3 linked regions of the Tamandua tetradactyla genome follow. The protein of the gene in region 1 interacts with the protein of each later gene in a pairwise test. Links are inferred from orthologs where the notes say so. Each region holds a gene or a part of one and is shown on either strand. Other genes may lie near its edges.

Region 1 (7,284 bases):
AGTATGTGTGGTTCTAAAATATAGACAGTCTTACTTACCCTTATGTTCTGAATTACTTCAACCCGAACCTGTTTGGCTTCATTCTTATCTCTAAATATCAGGTTATATAAATAAAACAGCCTCTCAAAATCCAGAAATAGTAATCACCACTCCAGACTGAATGTGTCTGCTCTAAAAGCTTACAATCTAGGCCCCTGCTTTCTTATGAACATTTTCTAAAGGTGACCACACCATTTTTGTTCTTTTGTTTCTGGCTTATTTTGTCTCACCAAGTGTCCCACATTGTTGCATGCCTCACTTTGTTCTTTTTTGTGGCAGCACAACCTTTGTTCATAAGTATACACCATCGTTCGCCAATCTACTTCTCCATCAGTGCATCCTTCAACCACCTGCATTCATTGGGCATCATGTAGAGGTCCCCAAGTCCACTGTCCATCAAATATTCTCAATTTTAGATAATTTCATTGTTCCCAAGAGAAAGAAAACCAATGAACACACCCTTGCCAAATAGGAAATCTAAACCTCCTCTTAACTCTTGTCACTCTCCCCATTTATTTACCTCTGCCGTTGCTGTGGTAGTGCTGATGGTTTCCTTTTGAAAATGGCTCATAACATGCAATAGCACTTTACCCCCTGTACCCTGGACTTAAACACTCTTTGTACAAGAATCATATCTTTGAAATAATTCTTGCGAGAACTGATTTATATTTCTAGTGTAAATCAGTGTGACACACAGGTCTATACAATACCTTTCGATCTTGTTCATCAATATGGTAATATTACTTATAGACCCACTAGAGAACCACCTTCACTCCTATCTATTCCCTTACATTGGAGTTCAACCTCATTAGCTAATGATTCACCCATCTCTAGCTTCTATGTATCTCTAAGTCTTCTATATTCTGTATTATAAGCCTTTGATTTTATCTTTATGCTGGTCATAAAAGTGGAATCATACAGTATCTATCCTTTTGTGTATAGCTAGTTTCACTCAGCATTATGTCCTCAAGACTCATCCATCTTGTCATGTGCACAGGATGTCATTTTGTCTTACTGCTAATTTGCCCCTTTTTAAAAGCCTTTCTATTACTGCTTTATCGCATTCTGGCAGCTTACTGACTAAAACATCCCATGTAGGGAAAAAGTAATGATTTTACTTGCACAGTTGGGCTTAGAAAGAGAGAGGCCACATCTTAGCAACAAAAGAGGTCCTCTGGAAGTAACTATTAGGCATAACTATAGGTAGGCTTAGCTTCTCTGCTACATAAATAAGAGTGACAAGAGCAAGCCTCAAGATCAAGGGCTTGGCCTATTGACTTGGGAGTCTCAAATATTTGAGATAATATCAGGGGTTTCCCCAGTGTATAGCTTAATAGTTCCATATTTTTTCTCCTGTCCCTCAAGGGACTTTGCCAATACTTTTAAATTATCTGTCCAACCTGCTCTGGGATGTATCCAGACATCACATTAAGCCATTAAAGAATTGCAAGCCCTCATTCCCCATTTGCCCATTTTTTCACTGGGTTATCTTTTTACTGTTGAGTTTCAGGAGTTCTTTATATATTCTAGGTTTTGATATATGATTTCCGATTTATGTATATTTTCTTTGGTTGCTTGTGCTCTAGTGTAGAGTCTAAGAATCAATTGTCTAATAAAAGGCCATGATAAAATTTCCTTATGTTTTCTTCTAGGAGTTTTATTTCTTACATTGAAGATGATCTTTTTTTTAAAAAAAATATTCATATTTAGTTGTGGTAAAATATAGAGAACATAAATATCATTTTAACCATTTTGTCAACAATTCTTTGGCATGAGGTACATCGATAATACTGTGCAAATTCTCCACTGTTTATTTCAAGATTATTTTCATCATCTGAAACCATAACTCATACTCATTTAGCAAAGCATCTCCATTCACCTTCCCCCAATCCCTGGTAACCACTATTCTACTTTCTGTCTCTATGAGTTTGCTTATTCTAATTATTTCATATCAGTGATATCATATAGTGTTTGTCCTTTTGTTTCTGACTTATTTTACTTAACATGATATCTTCAAGGTTCATCCATATGGTATTATATATCAGCAGTTCACTTTCTTTCATGACTGAATAATCTTCCATTGTATGGATACAGGTACATTTGTTTATCCATTGACCTGTTGATGGGGCAGTTGAATTGTTTCCACCTTTTGGTTATTGTGAATAATGCTGCAGTGAACATTGTTGTGCAAATACCTGTTTGAGTCTCGGCTTTCAATTATTTTGGTTTCTCTCCAACATTGTAATGCACATGGCAGTGTCTTCTTTCTCTTCCTGGTTCCATTGACTTCTAGCTTCTTGGTTTTCTCATGGCTTCTCTATAAACCCTCCAGTGACCAACCTGACACAGTGGTCACATGTAGAATGGTGCAGCTGCTTTGGAAGACAGTCTGGCAGTTCGGAAGAAAGAGTACTATATGGCTCAACAATTCTACTCCTAGGTATATTCTCAAGAGAATTGAAAATATATGTTCACACAAAAACTTGTACACGAATGTTCACAGCAGCAATATTCATAATAGTTCAAATCTGGAAACAATCAGTATTTCCATTAACTGATGAATGGATAAACAAAATGTGATATATACATACGATGGAATATTTTGGGGGACTAAAAAGTAATAAAGTTCTGATGCGTGCTACAACATGGGTGGGAAGGGGAATAGGAGAAGGGGTGGAGATTGACTGCTAATGGATATCAGATTTCTCTTAGGGGGGACAAAAATGTTCTAAAATTAGATAATGGCAATGGTTGCACAACCCTTTGACTATGCTAAATACCCATGAATGGTACACTTTAAACAAGTGAATTGTTTGGTGTGTGAATTATAGCTGTATAAAGCAGCTTAAACAAGACAAATAATTGTAAACATTTAAATTCTGAAAGGCACTATACCTATATAGATATATCAATAATTTCTTTCAAACTCAACAATCTTCCAAGAAAGTCATAATACACTTACATATAAATTGCCCTAGAGCTTTAAAAAATGTGGAAGACATTCCAATTAATCTCTGATATTTAGCATAACCCTCCCCCTGAAAAATCTATCAAATATACTATTGGTATGCAAGATATTACCATTGGGGGAAGCTGGGTAAAGGGAACATGGGAGTTTTTTGTTTTTGTTTTTGGGTGCGTGGTCCAGGAATCAAACCCAGGTCTCCTGCATGGAAGGCGAGCATTCTACCACTGAACCACCCGTGCACCCTAACATGGGAGTTTATATACTATTTTTGCAGTTTCTTGTGGGTCTAAACTTAACTCAAAAGAAACATTTTGAATCCAAAGGCTTTGGTTTAAGATAACAAACTCAGTGTAAAATTTATCTTTCATAGGAGATAAATATTGTATCTTGCAAATTTTGGACATATTGTTTTCATTATGGTTTAGTTCTAAGCATTTAACTCCCATCATGGTTTCCGCTTTGACCCGTGAGTTATTTGTAAGACTTTGTTGTTGTTTTAAATTTCCAGATGTATGTTTATATTTTTTATTTCACATTGTGGTCTGGACTATGGAACGTATTCTACAATTCTTTGAAATTTGAATGATTATCATTTGAGACTTGTTTGGCTTAGAACGTGACCAATTTTTATAAAAGTTCTTGAAGTGTTTAAAAAGAGTAACTATTCTTGAATTTTGGAGTGCATGGTTCTATATGTTCATGAAATCAGGTTTGTTAATTGTGTTGTTCAAAAAACGAAAAGAGGCTATTAGGGCAATTCATGTGAGAGATGATAGTAAGTTGGGAACAGGGAAGCTGGAGAGAAGTAAAGGGATTCCAGGTTCATTTGGGAGACAAAATGGACAAGTCATGGTGTTCCATGGCTGGAAGAGGTGAAGGAGACAGAGGTGTCAAGGATGATGTTTCTTTGCTTAGGGACTGAAGGAAGCCGACAATGTTGAGGGCTTAAGGCTGGGACTTGGCAGCCGGCTCTTCCCTAACGCTTTGTACTTTTGCATCACAACACCCAACATGGCGCTTCTCACACTACGCGGCTTTGCACGCACTACCGAAGGCAGGAAGGCGTTCCTTCTATGCCTCGCTGCTCCTTTGCCCTGGCCCGGCCTTCTTCTCGCCGGTCTCAACTAGCCCCACCCCCAGGAGATTACCTTCCTGCCAACTCGTTTGCACTGGTCTTGCCCTTAAATGGCCCAGCTCCGCCCCTGGTGCAATCATTTCCTCCTAGTCGGAATTACGGAGATTGACGAGTCTATTTTCCAATCATAATGCCGAATGACCACTTAGTTTCCAATTAGACGGTAGCAGAGGCGGGTGTTGAAGCATGAGATAAAGATGATCAGGAAGTGGGAGCTAAGGTTGCGACGGACTAATCAAGCCGAGGCGGTGCTGTAAAGGTGACGGAGCGTCTGGATTCCCCAGTTTCCTCCATTCTCCATTCCTGGGGCAGCGGGTCTCTTCGCAGCTTGGAACTAGGATCTCCATCCCCCCTTTTTTTATGGGGATGGGGGTGTGTCCAGATATTTAAGCGTTTGAGGATTTTTTTTTGAACCCCCTTCCTCGCTCGGCATCGAGGTGTCCTTCTCTTAGCCAGTGGTGGGGTCCTGCCTTCCCCTTCCCGGGGTTAGTAAAGTTGTTTGAGATCCTCCCTTGCCCTTGGTTAAAGTCCTCCCTACTCACTAACAGGGAAGGTGATGAGGGAACAGTGAGATTCGTGGACTCTGCCCCTCTTGTGAGGGGGATTGAGACCTCCAGCTGTGGCCAGAGGTAGTGGAAGGTGGAGGGGCAATGGGAACTAGGTTCCTGTGATTAGGGAGGGAACAAGGGATAAAATAGGCATTGAGGACGAAGGAACGAGTGGAAGAAACGTTTCTTAAGTGGAGGCAAGTGAGAGAACCCTCTCGGGCAGGAAGCGTTAGGGTTGGGCTGGGGCTCAGAATCCTCTTCCCAGCTCAGAGCCGTCCGCTTTTAGCCTCATTTCTTTCTCCTCAGGCTGGGGGAAACACCTGGACATGTGGAATCCCAGTGCAGGTAGGTGTTTGGAAGTCTCTTCTCCTATCCCCCCTCTTAACAGGAAGTTTCTATGTTAATTTTTCCCTGCTGCTCCTCTTCCCGCAAAGCAAAGTCCTTAGACTAGTGAAACCAGAGTTCACAGCTTCCCAGCTTCTGCTCTCCCCAGCCCTTCCAAGGACATTCCCTATTTCTCTCCCCTACTCCTATACTCAGGTGTGTCTATCCCATCCCCCCCCACCCCCATTCTCTTTCCTCATCATTCCATATCCCTTTAAGTAGTGGGTGAGAAACTGAGTTCCTTTGGTGTGTGTGTGTGTGTGTGTGTGTGTGTGTGTGTGTTTTGGTTGTTGCAAGAGGCCCTGGGCAGTTCTAATCTTTATTCTCTGTTTCTTTCATCAGGACAACCAGGGCCAAATCCGTACCCCCCCAACATCGGGAACCCTGGAGCTTCCAATCCTGTCCACCCACCACCTGTCAATCCTGCCTTTCCCCAGGGCCCCTTTCCCACTCCTGGAGTTCCCCAGGCAAATCCAGCTTTCCCCCCGGGTGCACTCCCTCATCCTGTGCCTCAACCAGGGTATCCGGGATGCCAACCCCCAGGCCCCTACCCACCTCCTGGTCCCTATCCCCCTCCATACCCACCAGCTGCCCCTGGCATGCCTCCTGTCAATCCCTTGGCTCCTGGCATGGTAGGACCTGGGATGGTGATGGACAAGAAGATGCGTAAGAAGATGAAGAAAGCTCATAAAAAGATGCACAAACAGCACAAGCATGGCAAGGTGAGGGTTTGTCTGAAGCCTGACTAGGGAGGGTGTGCCACCCTCAGAGGAACTGAGCAGGTGGGGGTTGGGTGAGGGAAGTTTACTGTCTGCGATCGTGGGGTGGCAGTTGTGGTTCTCTGGTAGATGATTCTTCCTTTTTTGTGAAGGATTCCCACTGGAAAGGAATCTGATACTTTTGAGAAGAATTCTTACGCTTATTAGGCCTCATATCTGGGAGGTACAAGGCTAAGGTTGAATATCAGCTCAAAAGCCACTCAGAACTTTGGCTGCCCTTTTCTGCCCCCGTGCATGTTGTGGCAAATTGGATATATCCACTGAAGTTGTCAGAATGTCAATAGGGTCAATTCTTTCGCAAAGCAAATTCTTATATAATATTTAACAGAAATAAAAATCTGGACCTCCTTGCTGAAGTTCCTTTCTCTCCTTCAGTTTTCTCCTGTTTGTTAGTTACCCGAGCCTTTTTGTCCATCAGGGAAACTGAGGACCTGAGCTAATGAGTGACTCTTAGCCTCAAACAAAGCCTGAGGCTAAGAGAGTTTCATGTTTGATCCCTTAAGGGCTAAGTATCCTTTCTTCTACAAGAACAGCTCACAGTTCAACTCTAGGAGGATTAAACCAATCTGGATCTCTTGGAGGCTTCAATTTACATCTTAAGGCCTAGTATTTATTTGCCCTGTGGATGTGGGCTCTAATTCCTGATTGTGGGTCTTTCGTGGAAATCAGAGGTGATAGAAAGGTGAGATTAAATGGGGGGAAAATTACCCCAGTGACTTAAAAATGGGTTTATTGTTGATTTGGAGTTATGTATGTGACAACCCTTGAATAGGCTCCCCTATTTTTTTCTGGAGCCTGACTAGGGAGGGTATGCCTGGTCAGGCTCCAGAAAAACACTAGGGACTGTGCAGGTAGGGGTTGGGTGAGGGGAGTTTACTGTCTGCAATCCGGGGTGGCAGTTGTGGTTCTCTCACTTTCCTCACTTTCTCCCAGTTGGGTTTGGGAAAAGTAGAGCTGCATGCACACACAACTGCTGTTTCTACTCAGTTTTCTTAAATTTGTAGCCACTAGGGACTTTTCATACAGTTAATCAATAAGTATTTGTAAGGCAGCAGCCGCTTTCCTAGCACTGTACTAAGCTTGTGCTTATTATTTATTCCTTGCCTAGGTATTAACTCAAGGTAAAGAAAGTGGAAACTTGCTTTAAAAGTAATGCATTAAATTCTCTGCAATGATTTGGAATGGTTTAATCCATCCCTGTTTGCGCTCTGTCGAAGGAAACCCTTGCCTTTTCTGTATACGGGAAAGTCTGGTTCAAGACTCCTGGAAGCAAGGGGCACTGGGTGGAGGGATGAGGCACCAAAGGTTGGCCACTGGGATGGTCAAAGGTCATTTGGATCTGATGCTATCTCCTCTCCCGTTTCCCCTTGCAGCATTCCTCCTCCTCCTCTTCCAGCAGTGACTCTGACTGAATACAGGGTCTGGACCCTT
Region 2 (7,525 bases), on another chromosome or scaffold:
GTCTTTCTGAGTGCCAATAGCATGTAGTTCAGTTCATGAAATCAATGGTGACATCAGGCCAACTTTAGATACAACTGTGGCCACAGACTGTAACATTGTATCTTTCTGAGTGCCAACAGCATGCAGCTCAACTAGTGAAATCAGTGGTGACATCAGCCAACTTTAGATATAACTGTGTCAATCTTTAACAACTGTCTTCCCATGGATCAACAGGGCTGATGTGGCTTATGAAGATGTCTGAGCAATCAGCTGTGCAGCCTTTCTTTCTCTCCTGGTCTCTTAAATAGTGATCTTCCCCAGGCTTCAGTCACAGGCTTACCTTTCACACTCTACACATTTCTCCTGAGCAGACTTCTACTCTCATGGCCTTAACACCTATTTAATACAGACATTTGGGTGGCACTGAATGACACCAAAATCATTGCCTCTTACCTCAGCTTCTTTGCTAACCTAAAATTTATATCACTAAATGACTGCTGGATACTCCCATTATCAACACGCCCCAAACTGAAGTTATAATCCTCCCCCTTAAAACCTGCTCCTTCTCCAATGTTGCCTACATCAGTAAATGGCCCTGCCCAAATGTCTAACAGTGATTTCTAGATAAATCACACTTCCTAGTGACGCTGCCTCCAAAAACGTATCTCCAATCTGTCTGCTTCTCTCCACTCCTATTGACACCATACTTCAGTGAGGAGTCATTGCAATTCACCAGAATTATTCCTAACTGGTGAATGCCTCAAACTATCTCCCCTCTATTGTGCAGCCAAAATGATCCCTTCAAATCATGAATCTGTTTAAAAACACATAAATGATCTCCAAACACCCTTAGGATAAAGTCTAAACTCCTTGTCATGGCTTACAAATTTGTTCAAGAGCTGGAAGTCACCTTTTAAGTTAATATAGCATGGCAAATGGATAAGAGCATGGGGTCTAAAGAAGCCAATCTGATCTAGCTCCATCCAGCTGTCTCACAACAGGCAAATCACTTGACTTCTTTGTCCCTCAATTTCATCCTCTGTAAAAACGGGATAACAGTATGTATCTCATAGTGCGGTTGTGAATGTTAAATGAGAAAAAATAACAAACCACTTGACACAGTGTCTGGAACACTATCTGACACATAGTAAATGGTCAGCAAATAATAGCTATTGTTATTATCTTTCTAGCTCATTTCTCACTTCTCTCCCATTTGTCCTTAGAGTTCCATCCATAGCGCCCAGTGAACCTCTTTCATCCTTCTTCTCACTGGTCCATTACATAAAGTCCCTTTGATTGCATGTTTCCCTCCATCCCCCTCTTCAGCAACTCTCTGGACTCCTCTGGGAAAGTCATCTGTGCAACTCCTAGATGCTCCCTAAGGTTCTGTACTTGTCTTACTTTCTAGTACTATTTTTTCTCTCCCTGTTAAACTGTAGGTTTTGTGTAAAAGGGTCCATGTCTTTCTTGCTTACCACTGAAATGGTTTTGTACCCCAGGAAACCCATGTTCTTCTTTCTAATTCAATCTTGTGGGGGCAGACCTATTGTTTGGGTGGGATCTTTTTGATTAAGTTGTTTCCAAGGAGATGCATCTCTGCCCACTCAAGGTAGGTCTTACTGGGCTTACTGGGGTCCTTTTAAGAGGGAGCCATTTTGGGAAAAGCTTAGAGCCGACACAGACAGAGACATCTGGAGATGCAGGAAGAAAACGCCCCAGGGAAGCAGTTTGAAAACAGAAGCCAAAGGACCAGCAGACACCAAGCATATGCTTTCCCAGCTGACAGAGGTCTTCCAGGCCTATCTTGAGTCAGGGTATCTTTCTTTGGATGCCTTAGTTTGTAAATTTTTAATGGCCTTAGACCTCTAAACTTGTAACTCAATAAATCCCCTTTATAAAAACCAATCCATTTTTGGTGTATTGCATTCTGGCAGTATTAGCAAACTAAAACACCGTTTTATCCCCAATGCCCACCACAGTGCCTGACACCTGACAGGCAGTAAAGCTGTCAGTGTATGAATGTGTGCATTTTTCCTCTCTCACAGCTCAGTATGTGTTCCTCTCAAAGCCGCAAGCCAGCAGAAAAGCACAGCTGTACCGTAACAGCTGTCCGCAGAACACACTTCAGGACAAGGCTGCCACAGGACAAACGCTTCTGAACCACAGCACTTCTCAGAATCCTATGCTCAAGTGCATTGTTAACCTCCAAGCGGGGGGCAGAGGGCGTGTATTTCTGCATACATCTCCTGCACTGAACGCTGTGGCACAGGCCAGTCTCAGGAGATGCTCACCCCCGCTGGACGTCTAAGGCAGACAGCAGCTGTGGGCGGGGAAGGCTCCGAAGCACTCGGACTGCAGGGTTCACGGGTGGCAATGAGCACCCTTTACACACAGAACCTGACACGGGGAAGAAACCGACAGGATTCACCCAAGCGCCTCCTCTGACCCAACGAGGCCCAGAAGAGCAAAGGGAACGGTCTGCGGCCACAGGCAAGCGGAAGCGCTGGAGGGGGAGCCCCGGGCGCCCGCAGGGCCCGACCCCACGCCCGCCACCACGCCCGGGACCCGCGGGGTCGCCACGCGCGCCCATTCGAATGGCATCTCTAAGCCACCCCGAAGCGACGGCCGAGGCCTGCCACCCCTTCGGGCCTCCACGGGCTGCCCTTCCTCCTCCTTTCCCCCCCAGCGTTTCTGCGGGGAAGACGCCTGTCCGCGGCGGGGAGACGGCTTCCGCCCGCTCTCAGCGTGGGGCTGGGAGCCGGCACTTGCTGCCCCCGAGCCCCGCAACCCAGCGGCGGCGCGGCGCCTCCGCCCGAAGGCGCCCGGCATCGTCCTCTCCCATCCCAACCGCCCCCTCCCCGCTCCCGCTCCCGTCCGAGCCCGGCAGGCCGTCCTCACCTGGGATTGCCATGGTGCTGGCAACAGGGGGTCAAGGGTGCGCGCGTCCCGCCGGCGCGGGGACAACGCCCGGCCGAAGCGGCCTCGCCCTCGCCGCAGCGCCGCCGAAGCTCCGCGAGAGGCCCGGAAGGGCCGCTAAGCCCCTGGCGACGGCGGAACCAAGGCGTCGCCGCTGTGGTTTCCGGGCGAGTCACGGTGCAGCGAACATTTGGCCTGAACCATTACAGCCAACTCCTGAGGGGTGCGTGTGTGTGACCGACACAGGTGTGTGGCGAAAGTGAACACCACGAAGACTCAAGATGGTTCTTTAACTTTTTAAATACGAATAACTTTACGCTATAGACGCTGAAGACTCTTTTCTCCTTCCCTGGAGGATATCGGAATCCCCCTTATCGGGGTTAGCGGTGTTCGGGTCCGGGAGCAACATGGCGGCATGCGTGAGCGGCTAGGTTGGCGGGCCCAGGGCGCGGCGTCGCTGTCTTTCAGGGCCTCGGCTTACTGGAGCTCTCCGCGACCGCCTCCTCCAGGGAGCGTGAACTCCTCCGCGGTAGCGTTCGTTGACCGGAGTTTTGCGGACTTCGAAGTAGAGCCCTGAGCACCGACAAGGATGAGCAACATCTACATCCAGGAGCCTCCCACGAACGGGAAGGTGAGCGCCTCACCTGGGGCCTCTGGGCTCCCGGAAGCGAGCCCTCTCCCACTAGGAGGGCTCTGAGGTGTTCGGGATGGAAGAGGCCACAGGGAGTGTCGTCGTCCCCCTGTCTCGGGACGAGGCGTCGAAAGCCGTACTGAACACTCATAGCATGGATTGGAAAACCAAGAGCTTGGGTGGAGAGTTCCTCCATTGCCCTCGCCGCGGGGCCTTCTGCCCCCGACCCAACTCGTGCAGGCGTTTACGAGGGTCTTAGGGTTTTAGAAGCAAAATATGAAATTTAACATATTATTTTCTTGGCTTGGAGAGCTCTCCTTTTCGCATCCGTTCTGCAATCATTTGTTGAGTTCTTGCTGTGCACGGGTGCTGTGCTAGGCGCTGGGGATGCAGAGATGGGTAGGCCTAGTTACTGCCCTGGAAGAGCGCATAGTTAAGTTTACAAGACAAGCCCTAAAGAAAAAGCTTCCATATACGTCTAGTAGGCATCCTTGTGGAAACAGAATCATTGTTCTATGGCAGTACTGAGGAGTGAGCCGCTGGAAAAGTTAGGAAAAGCTTCTTGGAGCTGAAATTAAAACACGAGATAATTGCCAGTCAGAGAAAGTGGAGAATGGGGAGTGTTCCCATATTTGAATGGGAGGTTAGGGTCCTGATCGATTTGGTGGTCAAGGTACGTCAATTCCCATCCACGGTGTTTGTATGCAGTATGAGGCAGAGAAGTTAACGATGGGATTAGTGTCATTTGCATTCTTGAACTGAGACCTAGTCTATATCATATGTGAAATATTATGAAGAAAATAGTGGGACTTAAAGTATGTGGTTTGATTAGGGTAAACGAAATTTGCCTACAGTACAGTTCTGTTGCATGACTGTATCATAAATTACTTATGCAATCTTCTATTGATGGTCATTTGGTAATATAATGAGAGCAATTTGTAAACGTACAAAAAGTTTCTGTAATGAAATATCCTTGGCAAATATTTTAAGGGGAATTATGGGCAGAATTAATTCTTTGTTGTTTGACCTTCTCCTGGGCACTCCAGATTAGCATTCTCCCTTTCCCCCATGTCATTGTCAAAACCCCAAATAACTATCCCCTCGTTTTTCCAAATGTTTCTTGGGGATGATATTACCCCCAGGTGATAAAACCTGGCAGAAGATTGAATAAATTACCCATCTTGCCAGGCAGAGGCTTCACACTTGCTCTTCTCCTTGGTTTGTTCTTCTGCCTGCTCAAATGTCATCCTAAAAAAGAGGCCTTTCCTATTTGCCCTCCGTGATGGTTGGTTCATGTGTCAGCTTGGCCAGAGGGTGGTGTCCGGCTATTTGGTTAAGCAAGCACCATCCTGATGGTTCCTGTGAGGCCGTTTTGTGGACGTAAATCATCAGTAAATTGATTGCATCTATGGCTGATGACATCTACAGTCAACTGAGGAGATGGCCTTCACACTGAGAGATATATCATCCAATCAGTTCAAGACTTTAAAAGATGACGTGATGACTTCAGCAGTCAGAAGAATTTCTATCTCCACTTCAGCCAGCCGAGTAGAATTCCAAGGTTCCCCCAGAGAATTCATCAAAAACCTTCCCCAGATTTCCTGGCTTGTGACCTGCCCTTTGGAATTTGGACTTATGCATCCCCACAGTTGTATAAGACAATTTTTATAAAAATCTCATAGTATATATCTCAACAGATACGTCCTTTTGGTTCTGTTTCCCTACAGAACCCTGACAAAGACACCTTCTATGACATAGCATATAGTAGTCATGCCCTGCATCCCTGCATTCCCTGGCCCCCTGAACCTATTTTTCTGTAGTACTTATTTTCTTGTTTATCGTGCATCCCCTTCCCTCAGAGAATGCAAGTTCTCTGAGAGCAGAGATTTTGCTTTGTTCACTGTACTTAGAACAGTGCTTGATGCATAGTAGGAGTTCAAATATGTATTGCATAAATGAATGAATGTTATTTCTCTTAGCTTCTGAGAAGTATTAAGCGTCGGTGGGTTTAAGTAGACTGTGACTGGTTAAGTGCAGGCTGACTTGCTTTTTTGAGGAAGACTTAGCATGGTCATATAGATGAAAAGCTTAACAAGGTTACATGCCTAAATAGAAAACCATTTATTCATCAACAAATATTTTTTGAGCACCGAACACATACCAGGCTCTATGCAAGGTTTTAGGGATACAACAGAAAGAAAAAACAGCATTGTCCCTGTCATCATGGAGTTACCTTGGTGACATATGTGTTGACCAAATAATCATGCAAATAAACACGTAATTGCATACTGTGGTGAATAATGTTAATCTTTTGGACAGTAGTGGACTGAGGGAGAACCTCAGGCAGGGCCCAAGTTTTGTCCAAAAACAATTTGGGAACTTTAACAACATAAGGATTATTGAAGAGATTGAAGCCCTGAAGTTCTATACTGTAGGAAGTGTGGCAACTAAAGTGTACTGTAGAGAGTGTGGCAAGAATTTTGGTCTTGCAGGAATTTAAAGCACCTGTAATGACAAGTCTGCTCAGTAAATGTTTGTTTCATACCTGTGCTGTTTAATGGTGCATTGGTTTCTGAAAGCATTACAGAGATATCCAGAATCAATGGGAAAAAAATTCTTCTCTTCAAAGAACATCAAATCAGCTTGGGAAGCATAATTGACAAATAGCTGAGAATTGCACCAATGGTTGACCCTTGGCTGTTGTCCCTAAATGAACTATAACCCTCACACAGAAATGTAGCACCTAATAGAAATTTCCTGAAAGCATAGGGGATGATCCACTGAATTTGAAATTTCCACATATTCTGATACTTTATTCTAAATTGTATATTAACATATATATGTTCTTAAGAAACATGTTATTATTGAAATATTGTTTTATTTGGCAGCTTTAACAAAAAGAATCACTGAGAACTGACAAATACTATTGCCAAGGAAATCTATGGCCAAAGGAGGGCGATCCATGTGCCTTCTTCAGTAGTTTATCAGTGAAAAAATGAAGAAACCTTTGTAGGCAAGGTGACCATTTATTTACACATTCTTTTTGCTAGGTAAATGTTCCCTGTAGCAAAACAAAACAAAACAAACAAAATGTGTAAGAAGAGTACTTGCAGCAATAATGGTTACCATTTTCTGAAGATTTGTTGTCCTGTTAGGTGCTGTTCTAAGCAGTCTATACATAGAGAAAAAGTCGACATTCTTTTATTTGTATTTATTTCCTTTTTTATTTGTTTAAATGTAATATTTTTTACATGCAAAAGAACATATAAGTACAGTCATTCGTTAACTGTATATCATGATGATGTAATTTTTCCTAATGCCTAGCTAAATGGATTTACAGATGGTGGTATCTAGATTAACTAAACCAGTCCTTCAAATTTCATATTGAATATAGTATTAATCACATACATGAAAGAAAAGAGTAAGAAAATGATGGAGCTGACACCTCAGCATGGGAAGTCTTGAAAATTAGAAATTATCATGAAAACCATTTAAATATGGATTTTTATTTATTATTGTTAATGGTGAAGTTGTCTTAGGTTTATATTGTGCCTTGAATATTTATTAATGAGAGTATAAAGCCATCATGATTTTCAAGACATTTAAAATCTATGCATCTTGAACAGGAAGACAGAACTCTTCAATTTAAAAGCAACATTATCTTAAATGAAAGCAGTCAGACACAAAAGACCACATATTGTGTGATTCCATTTATATGAAATGCCCAGAATTGTGAAATCTATAGAAAGTAGGTAAGTGGTTACCAGGGGCTGCAGGTAGGAAAAATGGGGAGTGACTGCTGATGGGTATAGTGCTTCTTTATGTGGTGATCACATCTGAATCAGACAGTCGCAGTGATTGTACAACTCTGAATATACTAAAAACCACTGAATTGTATACTTTAAGGGGGTAAATTTTATGGTTTGTGGATTATATATATATATATATTGGTAAAGCTATAATTGTACTGTTAATAAGTAAAATTAAAAATGGTTTAAA
Region 3 (7,764 bases), on another chromosome or scaffold:
AAAACTGGGAACACGCTGTTTGGGTTATGTCAACCTCTACCATCAGATCTCTTTTTTTGAAAAGAGTTGTAACAATGCTCTTTTGAAATCAAGCTGGACAACCTCAGAACATTTTTTTTAAGACATCTATTTTAAAATTAGCATCTAGCTGCCTGAAAAATTTCTAGCTACACTTTTTTCCCCCCAGATGAAGCAGTTTACAGAGAGAAGGCCAATTAAATGTAAAAGAAAAAATCTCCCTGCTCCAGAGATATGAAAACTCCATTCTGGCCTTCCCAGAATCAGAGAATTTTGAAGAACCAGAAAAGAAACACTGCACGAAAGACAAGGCACCCCCAAAATGGGAAATCCTACCTGGGTCTCCATATTTGGAAAACTTACAGTAATTCAGTGTAGCTTTAGAATGAGGAACTTAAACAGGTGCCGAAATGTAGATCATTTTCATTGGCTGGTAGCTGGTAGCTCTTCCCTTTAACATCGAGTAGCTTACCGTACCATGCAATTCTAGGCCACCCTAGCAATGGACCCACTCATCTGGGTTATCAGGCACAGTTCTGAAATTTTTGCTCGAGGGGCCCTGACCGTTACAGAAATGTTAATGGAAGTAGATGATGAATGTATTACCTCAGAACCCCAGAACCCTGCACCACTTTCCTCCCTAAGGAACACAAAGGGGGGGTCTACTTCCTGAAACACTCAGCGGAGCTGGGGGAAAGTCCACTTTCCACAACCCATGTTAAGCGGGGTGAAGGAGACCCATCCTTTCCTGGGATTTCTTTCTCATGCTAGTTCCTCAGGAGCAAGGGAGGCAAAATTACTTTGTGCTTCTCAGTTACTGGTTCTTTTTCCCTTATGGAAAAGCTGAACAGTAGTCAAGAGAGAACATGATACTTAGTCCAACGCAATTGGAAGTATACAGCAAGCACTGCCCTGGAAGGCTCTTCTGTTACCTACTCAGAATTTAATGAGAAGAACCACTTCAGGCACTACACACACAGAGCTCAATAGAACTCATGAGTTAGTTATTCAATTACCACGAGTTTGCAGGTCCATCAGTTCACAAGCTTACTAATACTTAAAGCCGGCACAGGGTACTCAAGTTATACTCTCTGATGATAGGTCTCTGTCGCAGTGGAAACTCAGCGTCTGGTTCATGAAGGTTCTAGGCAAACAGGATCTAAATTACAGATGAGATTGGCCCTCTTGACATCCTTAGCAATAGATCAGAAGTCTGCCTGAAGCTCCTATGTGTATCCGTAGCACTGCGAACTATCAATGATTAAATGATAGGAAGTCATTTCTTCTTGATAGGAAGTCAAGTCTCAGTAGAGCGAGGCTTCCCATTCTACTTGAAAACGACTAGCTTTGAGGGTCAATCCACCAGGCAGGGCAGAATGCCCCCTTTTCTGCTACTTATTTTACTTCATGAGGCAACCTCCTAACACTTCTAAACCCTAAACATTCATGCACCATCATCAAATTTTCTCCCAGGATATGGAAGAAGCGCTGCTTCTAAACCATCAAAACATGAATTTAGGAACCAGCTCGAATCTCCAAAAGATCAAGGATGAGGCAGGACCATCAAAGAAATGAAAGTCCCATTCCAAAAATTCAAAGTCAAAGGCTAAAAAGGAGACCATTTTTCGTGGGAAAATAAATTTTTATTATTAAACTTTAACTTTTATGGGAACAAATACTTTTCCTAGAAAACTTTCTAAACATGAGGCATACAAATCAAAATTTTGGAAGATGGTGGGATTTTTCTCTGATGCACTGCACCCAAGTAGTTCATTTTCTCTCTCTCATTTTCTTCAGAATTAAAAAAGCCTGCCTGCCCTTCTTTTCCCAGAATCCCAGAAGGAGACTGGGTCACCGAAGTCCAGCTGACCTCACTGTCCACGACCCATTTTACAAATATTCCACAGTATCTGAAATAGGAATGGCTGGCTCTGAAGGGCTGGGGGACCCAAGTCCACCGATAGGTGCCTGTCTCTCTAGCATCTAGCACCCAACCGCCAGTGGCCGCATTTTTACTTCTGTTTGATAAGCTGATAATTCAGAATATATCCTCAAACACGTTTTAAAACCCCCCAGCTGAGGCTCTGCACAATTCTGCCGCTCCTGACACATCCCTAGCACAGATATGAGCTTTTATGGCCCAAAGTAGCCAAACTGGGCAGGGATGAGTCACTTAACAGTTTAGGGTGTGCAGACTTTGCAAAAGCGACGCATGCTCCGGACGCCTGGGGGTGGGGTGGGGAGGGCAGCACCCTTTTCCGTGGAATCCACATTCAGAAAGCTGGCCGCAACCCCTGTCTCGGGACTGTTGGGCCTGTTAGAACTCTTTCCTGCCCTCACCAAGATCTCCTTGTAGAGATAAAAGTGGCCCGGGCAGCGGGATCACAGGTCCCAAAAGCCGCCCTACGCCTGGTTTCTAATACCGGAAGAGAGGGGGCTGCTTGGTCGGATGCGGGGGTCCCGCCGCAGCACGCTTGCTTGCATTTGCACCAAGCCGTTTCGGAAGTGGCCCAACTCGGGTTCCGAGAGACTCCACGTCCATAAACCACAGACGGCGGAGGCAGCGGGAGGGTGGGGCCCGGGTGCGGCCGGGGTGCGTCCTCCGAGCGCCCAGAAAGCGGCCGGCGCCCGGCTCGCCCAGCGGCCGCCGCCTCGCCCGCTCGCCCTGAGCGCGAAGTTCCGTCGGTCGTGGCTACCTGGGCCCGGTCTCGGGCCCCGTCTCGGGCCCCTCGAACGTCCGAGGCTCCGCGCCCCGCCCCGGGACGGCGCCCGCAGAGCGCAGCCAACCTCCCTCCCCGGCTTCGGCCGAGCCCTCCCGAGAACCGCCACGCCCCGAGCGGCGCCCGCGCCCCCGCGCTCCCTCCCGCGCGGCCCCGCCGCTCACCCTCGCCTCGGCCTCCGCTACGTGGCTCTCCCGCTCGCTCCCGGGGCGCTCCCGGCCCGACGGCGGCTCCGCGCCTCAAATACGCCCACCCCGCCCCGCCTCTCCCGGGGCGTGACGGCCGCAGGGTTCCCCACCCCCGCCCCGCCCCCGGGTGTCCGCCCCGCGCGCGCCGCTCCGGGGGGCGCTCGGCCGGGGACGACGGGCCAGAGGCTCCGCCCCCACGAAGGGCGACGCCCGCGGCCCGGGGTCCGTCCCCGGCGGTCCCGGGATACTGGGCGTGGCCGCATGGCCCGCGCGCTCGTCGGACTCCGCCGCGGACGCCGACGGCCCGCGGGGAAAGTTTGCGAAGTTTTGGGCGTTTGGGTCGCTGGGGGATTTTGCGTGCGGCCCGCTTGCTTGTTTTACCTTGTTCGGTTATTTCCTGCCCGAATCCCAGGCAGTCGCATCCCGCCCTCATTTTGCTTTACCTTTAACTCTCTCTCAGCATCAAAGTCGTCCCAAGAATTGCACCCTGGAAAAAAAGAAAGGCATTTTAGCAAACAAAAACCACAAACCTCTTCCATAAAGTTATCCTGACTTTGCATCCTATACGCTTGATTTTTTTTTTTTTTTTTTTTGAGGAAGTAGTTTCCGAGTTCGTACTTGATATTCTGAGCTCCTGATTCAAATATGTCCTGAGTCTGTGTGAAGCTGACGTGGGTTATACGAGTAAATGGGTAAGAAATGTGGAATTTCGTAAAAATTTCTTAAGTAATTATGTTTTATATACAAATAAACGGATTTCCTGTACGTAAAATATCACACTGATTTGAGTGTGACCAGGAGGTTCTGTCAGAAAGTTTTCTGAGCCGCTGAGGGAGACGTGTCCACATTCTTCCCCTTTGAAGGTGTTCATTCGCCTTCCTGGCCTGGGTCCAGCAAACCTGTGATGTGGGGACACGCGGGGTCGTTCTGCTCTTTGTAAGCCCTGTATCCTCAGCGTCTGCCCCTAGGTTTCGCACGTAGTAGGATCCCGGTGAATATTTGTTTAATGAATGAAGAAAAGAAATAAAGAATGAATGACATCTTAGGAAGTCAGAATGTCTGTTTTCTCACAGATTGGAGAATGGGACAATGAGCAAATGCAAAAATTACCTTTGGTTACGGTGGGAAAGGACAAAATTACAAATGTAGGAAAGGTTGCTACAGCAAATAATGGTACTTGCTGAAGGGAGGTGATATTTGGTTGCAAACACTTCACTGGGTAATAACTGAGTAAAATGGTTAGGTATGTCCAAGGTTTGTCTGTTTGTTTTAATTCAGATAATAATTAAAACAACTATATTAATTGAGCAGTTATGTCTCTTGAACTATGTGCAGTACTTTACATACCTATATGAGATGGGTGTTATTTTTGTCCCCATTTTACAGGTGAGAAAACAGAGGCACAGAAAAGTAGATATGACCGTGATCATAACATCGATCAAGTTGAAAGTGTGTCAGGGTCTAAGAAATAAGGTGTTGAATATTCACTGCTCAACCAGCTGAAGCAAAAACAAACAAAATGCCATCACCACCAGGCCACAGAAAGTTGTAGATTTAAAAGGAGCTTGGAAGGGTCATTCAGAAATGTAAAGAATGGCTGCCCACAAGGTAAAATGATCTCTGAGGGAATGAAGAAGAATTACTCTTTCTACCCCTTTATCTCTAGTGCTTTCTGTGTGATATTTCAGTTCAGTAGTAGAGTCTCCTCTCTGAAACTGGGATCCTGTGTCTGGTTGATAGCATGTGTGAGAGAGCCTCCGTACTGCTTGAGTGGATACACCTGGGAGTTTTTAGATTTGGGGCTAGAGGAAAGGATTTTGGTACTAGAGAATGGAGTCAAGTCTAGAGAAGGAATGTCTGCACCCGCTCTCAGCCTAGCCTCTTTTGCTCGTTTGGTTGGAGCCCCAGGCAGTGGGAGTAGGCCAGAAGTTGATGGATCTGGAAAGCTTTGAGAGACGCCCGCATCAAGGCCCAGGTGACAGAGTACAGTCCCCCGAAGGGAGGCTAACTCCCACCCCAGGGCAGTGCTGTCACTGCAGACTTCCAGAGACAGCCCCATGGGATAGGCATTAGCATTCTCCCACGGGGCGGGGAGAGCAGACACAGGCAGATGCTGCAGCAGGCTGGAGCTGCCCGGCTGACGGGTCCTCAGGAGAGGGGGCCTGCTGAGGAAGAACAGCCCTGCTCTTAGAAGAACCGAAGTGTTATGGGAAGCCCGTAACCTCAAGCAGGACAAATGAGACCTGGCTGGAACTGGCCCACTGGTGTTTGTGATCGAATTTTGTGACACAATACACGTGGTCTATGTTTTGGGCACTCAGTAAATAAAAAATCGAAAATGGGAACGTGATAGTGATATAATCTCACTGAAACAATGTGATTGAGGGATAGAGATTAATGAAGAGCCTGAATTACATTTTATAAAAAATAGCAGTAGCTTGCTACTCTAAAAAAGAGGGTAAATGATTGTTTGCAAAATGGATGATTGACAATGGGCTGCAACTATGAAGTTGGATTATATTAGGCAATGTGAGTGGCCTCATGATACTGGCTACCTGGGACCTTATAATGTCAGGGGACAAAGAATAAGGTCATATATAAAGCTGTATTGCTACTAAGGAAAAATTAAAGAAGTGAGCATTTTAATTTGGAATTTCACTCTGACCTTTCTTCCTCTTACCTCCCACTTGCTCAGCCCACCCCAGCCACTCCTGCCCCCAAAAGCTGTTCCTGTGGCACTCCTGACTTTGCATCCTTGCCCTGGCTGTTCCCTATAGCTGGAATACTCTCCTCCTGTCATCTACTCACTCTGTCACCTACTTTAAGCCTTTACTCAAATGTCACCTTCTCCATGAGGTGTCCTCTTGCCCCCCCTATGTAGAATCAAATCCACCACCTCCCACTGCCAACCCCTCTTACCCCCTCTAATTTTTCTTTCTTTCCACAGCCCTTATCAGCTCTAGAATTTACTTATTTACTATGTGTGTTTGTTATCCTTGATTTCTCCCTGCTTTTCCTTCCTGCACCCCTCCCTGAGGGCACAGTACTTTGTTACATTGTTCACTGATGTTCCCAAGTGCCACTCAACAAATATTTGCTAAGTGAACAAGTTTGTGAGCACTGGAGAAAAATCCAGTGGACTGTTTGATGTTATTGTGTTTTTTTTTTCCTTTTTTTTTTGCTTCAGTTGTGCCCACTGCTTGTGAGAATATCAAGAATTCTCCACTTGGGGAAGTTGAATTTTCCCCCTTTCTCACCATTCCCCCAAGGGGACTTTGCAAATACTTTTTTATTCACTGTTCAAATCACTCGGGTTTATCAGGACATCACTCTGGACGAACCTACAAAATCTCATGCCCTACTCAAGTTTCCATGTGCTTGTAGCATTCAGTTAAACTGTCCACAAAAGTCATATTAGGAGATGCACTAGTCAAAATATAAATTTCATACCAAATAAACATTTTTTGCTTTAGTCTCACACATAAGTTAAAGTTTTAAAATATTAATTACCATCTATTTTCAACACCCTGAAATATTGACGTTCCTTTGTTCTTCCTCATGCAGAAACATTTTTAAATTCGTACGTTTAGTCACTATCGTTATACACTCTAGGCACCCCTAGATTATACCATCTCAGTCTTTATCGTCTGTCTTTCCTTCTGATTTCGTTTGTGCCCCCAGCCCTCCTCCCTCTATCATTCTCACATTCAGCTTCATTCAGTGTTCTAACATTGTATTACAGTTAGGTAGTATTGTGCTGTCCATTTCTGAATTTTTACAATCAGTCCCATTGCACAATCTGTATCCCTTTGGTTCCAATTACCCCAAATCTACCCTATTTCTATCTCCTGATGGTCTCTGTTCTTAACTGAAATTCTCTAAGTTCATTCACTGATGTTCGTTCATATCAGTGAGACTATACAGTATTTGTCCTTTTGTTTCTGGCTAATCTCACTCAGCATAATGTCCTCAAGATCCATACCTCATAGCTTTATTCTGTCTTACAGCTGCATAATATTCCATCGTATGTATATACCCGCAGCTCGTTTAGCCACTCGTCTGTTAATGGACATTTGGGCTGTTTCCATCTCTTGGCAATTGTAAATAACGCTGCTATAAACATTGGTGTACAAATGTCCATTTGTGTCCTTGCTCTCATGTCCTCTGAGTAGATATCTAGCAATGGTATTGCCAGATCATATGGCAATTCTATACTTAGCTTCCTGAGGAACCGCCAAACTGCCTTCCACAGTGGTTGTACCACTTGACATTCCCACCAACAGTGGGTAAGATTTTATCGTTTTCAACCCCTTTCCTCTGATGCCCCTTAAGATGATAAAAAACTAAAAGAGTAAAGAATTCAATTCATAGAACTGACTAAAAATTGACTGCTTTTTTTTTTTTTGGATAAATAGAACTAGTCTCAAAGCAACTCCATTATCAGCCAACTTCTTAATATATCTTGCATAGTAAATTCAAATTATTCTATGTATACTTTTCTTTTAACGTCATCTTTTCTTTTTGGTGGAGAAAATAAATCAGTGCTATTGTCTTGCCTTGACTGTCAGGGAAAATTATTTACTTTTCATCCATGTTCAGCATCAGAATTCAGAAGTCCCAACTTTTACAAATGATCTCAAAAAAACACACCAAAGAAATCTGCAGGGACTTGTCTATGTAAACCAAAGAGAAAACCAGGTTTTCGAAATTAGTCAAATAATAAAGTATGCAAAAGCAAATTCTTTCATCCAGTTTTCCTCTGTAAGAAGGAAATGTCCATGTGAAGGACACACTTGATGGAGCTGAGAAGGTTTCTTGTCATCCTCTCGGATAAATCT

Evidence for each region. The genes of interacting proteins can lie anywhere in the genome.
Region 2: the proteins of PRR13 (region 1) and SREK1IP1 interact in binary tests that used the Homo sapiens proteins (3 or more experiments, as listed by UniProt). The link is inferred for Tamandua tetradactyla from reciprocal best matches to the Homo sapiens genes PRR13 and SREK1IP1.
Region 3: the proteins of PRR13 (region 1) and LGALS3 interact in binary tests that used the Homo sapiens proteins (3 or more experiments, as listed by UniProt). The two-hybrid records come from large-scale screens. The link is inferred for Tamandua tetradactyla from reciprocal best matches to the Homo sapiens genes PRR13 and LGALS3.

Annotation. Positions count from the first base shown.
Region 1 is NC_135333.1:114,895,037-114,902,320, forward strand, and holds the start of PRR13 (proline-rich protein 13), read left to right. Parts: upstream 1-4,273; 5' UTR 4,274-4,401; intron 4,402-4,407; exon of another isoform or gene 4,408-4,627; intron 4,628-4,996; 5' UTR 4,997-5,016; coding exon 5,017-5,035; intron 5,036-5,416; coding exon 5,417-5,796; intron 5,797-7,226; coding exon 7,227-7,265; 3' UTR 7,266-7,284. UniProt on the Homo sapiens protein: Negatively regulates TSP1 expression at the level of transcription. This down-regulation was shown to reduce taxane-induced apoptosis.
Region 2 is NC_135335.1:112,330,752-112,338,276, forward strand, and holds the start of SREK1IP1 (protein SREK1IP1), read right to left. Parts: upstream 3,003-7,525; 5' UTR 2,891-3,002; coding exon 2,878-2,890; intron 1-2,877. Other genes in the region: spliceosome-associated protein CWC27 homolog, read left to right, coding at 3,485-3,526. UniProt on the Homo sapiens protein: Possible splicing regulator involved in the control of cellular survival.
Region 3 is NC_135338.1:10,966,076-10,973,839, forward strand, and holds the start of LGALS3 (galectin-3), read right to left. Parts: upstream 3,003-7,764; 5' UTR 2,903-3,002; intron 1-2,902. UniProt on the Homo sapiens protein: Galactose-specific lectin which binds IgE. May mediate with the alpha-3, beta-1 integrin the stimulation by CSPG4 of endothelial cells migration.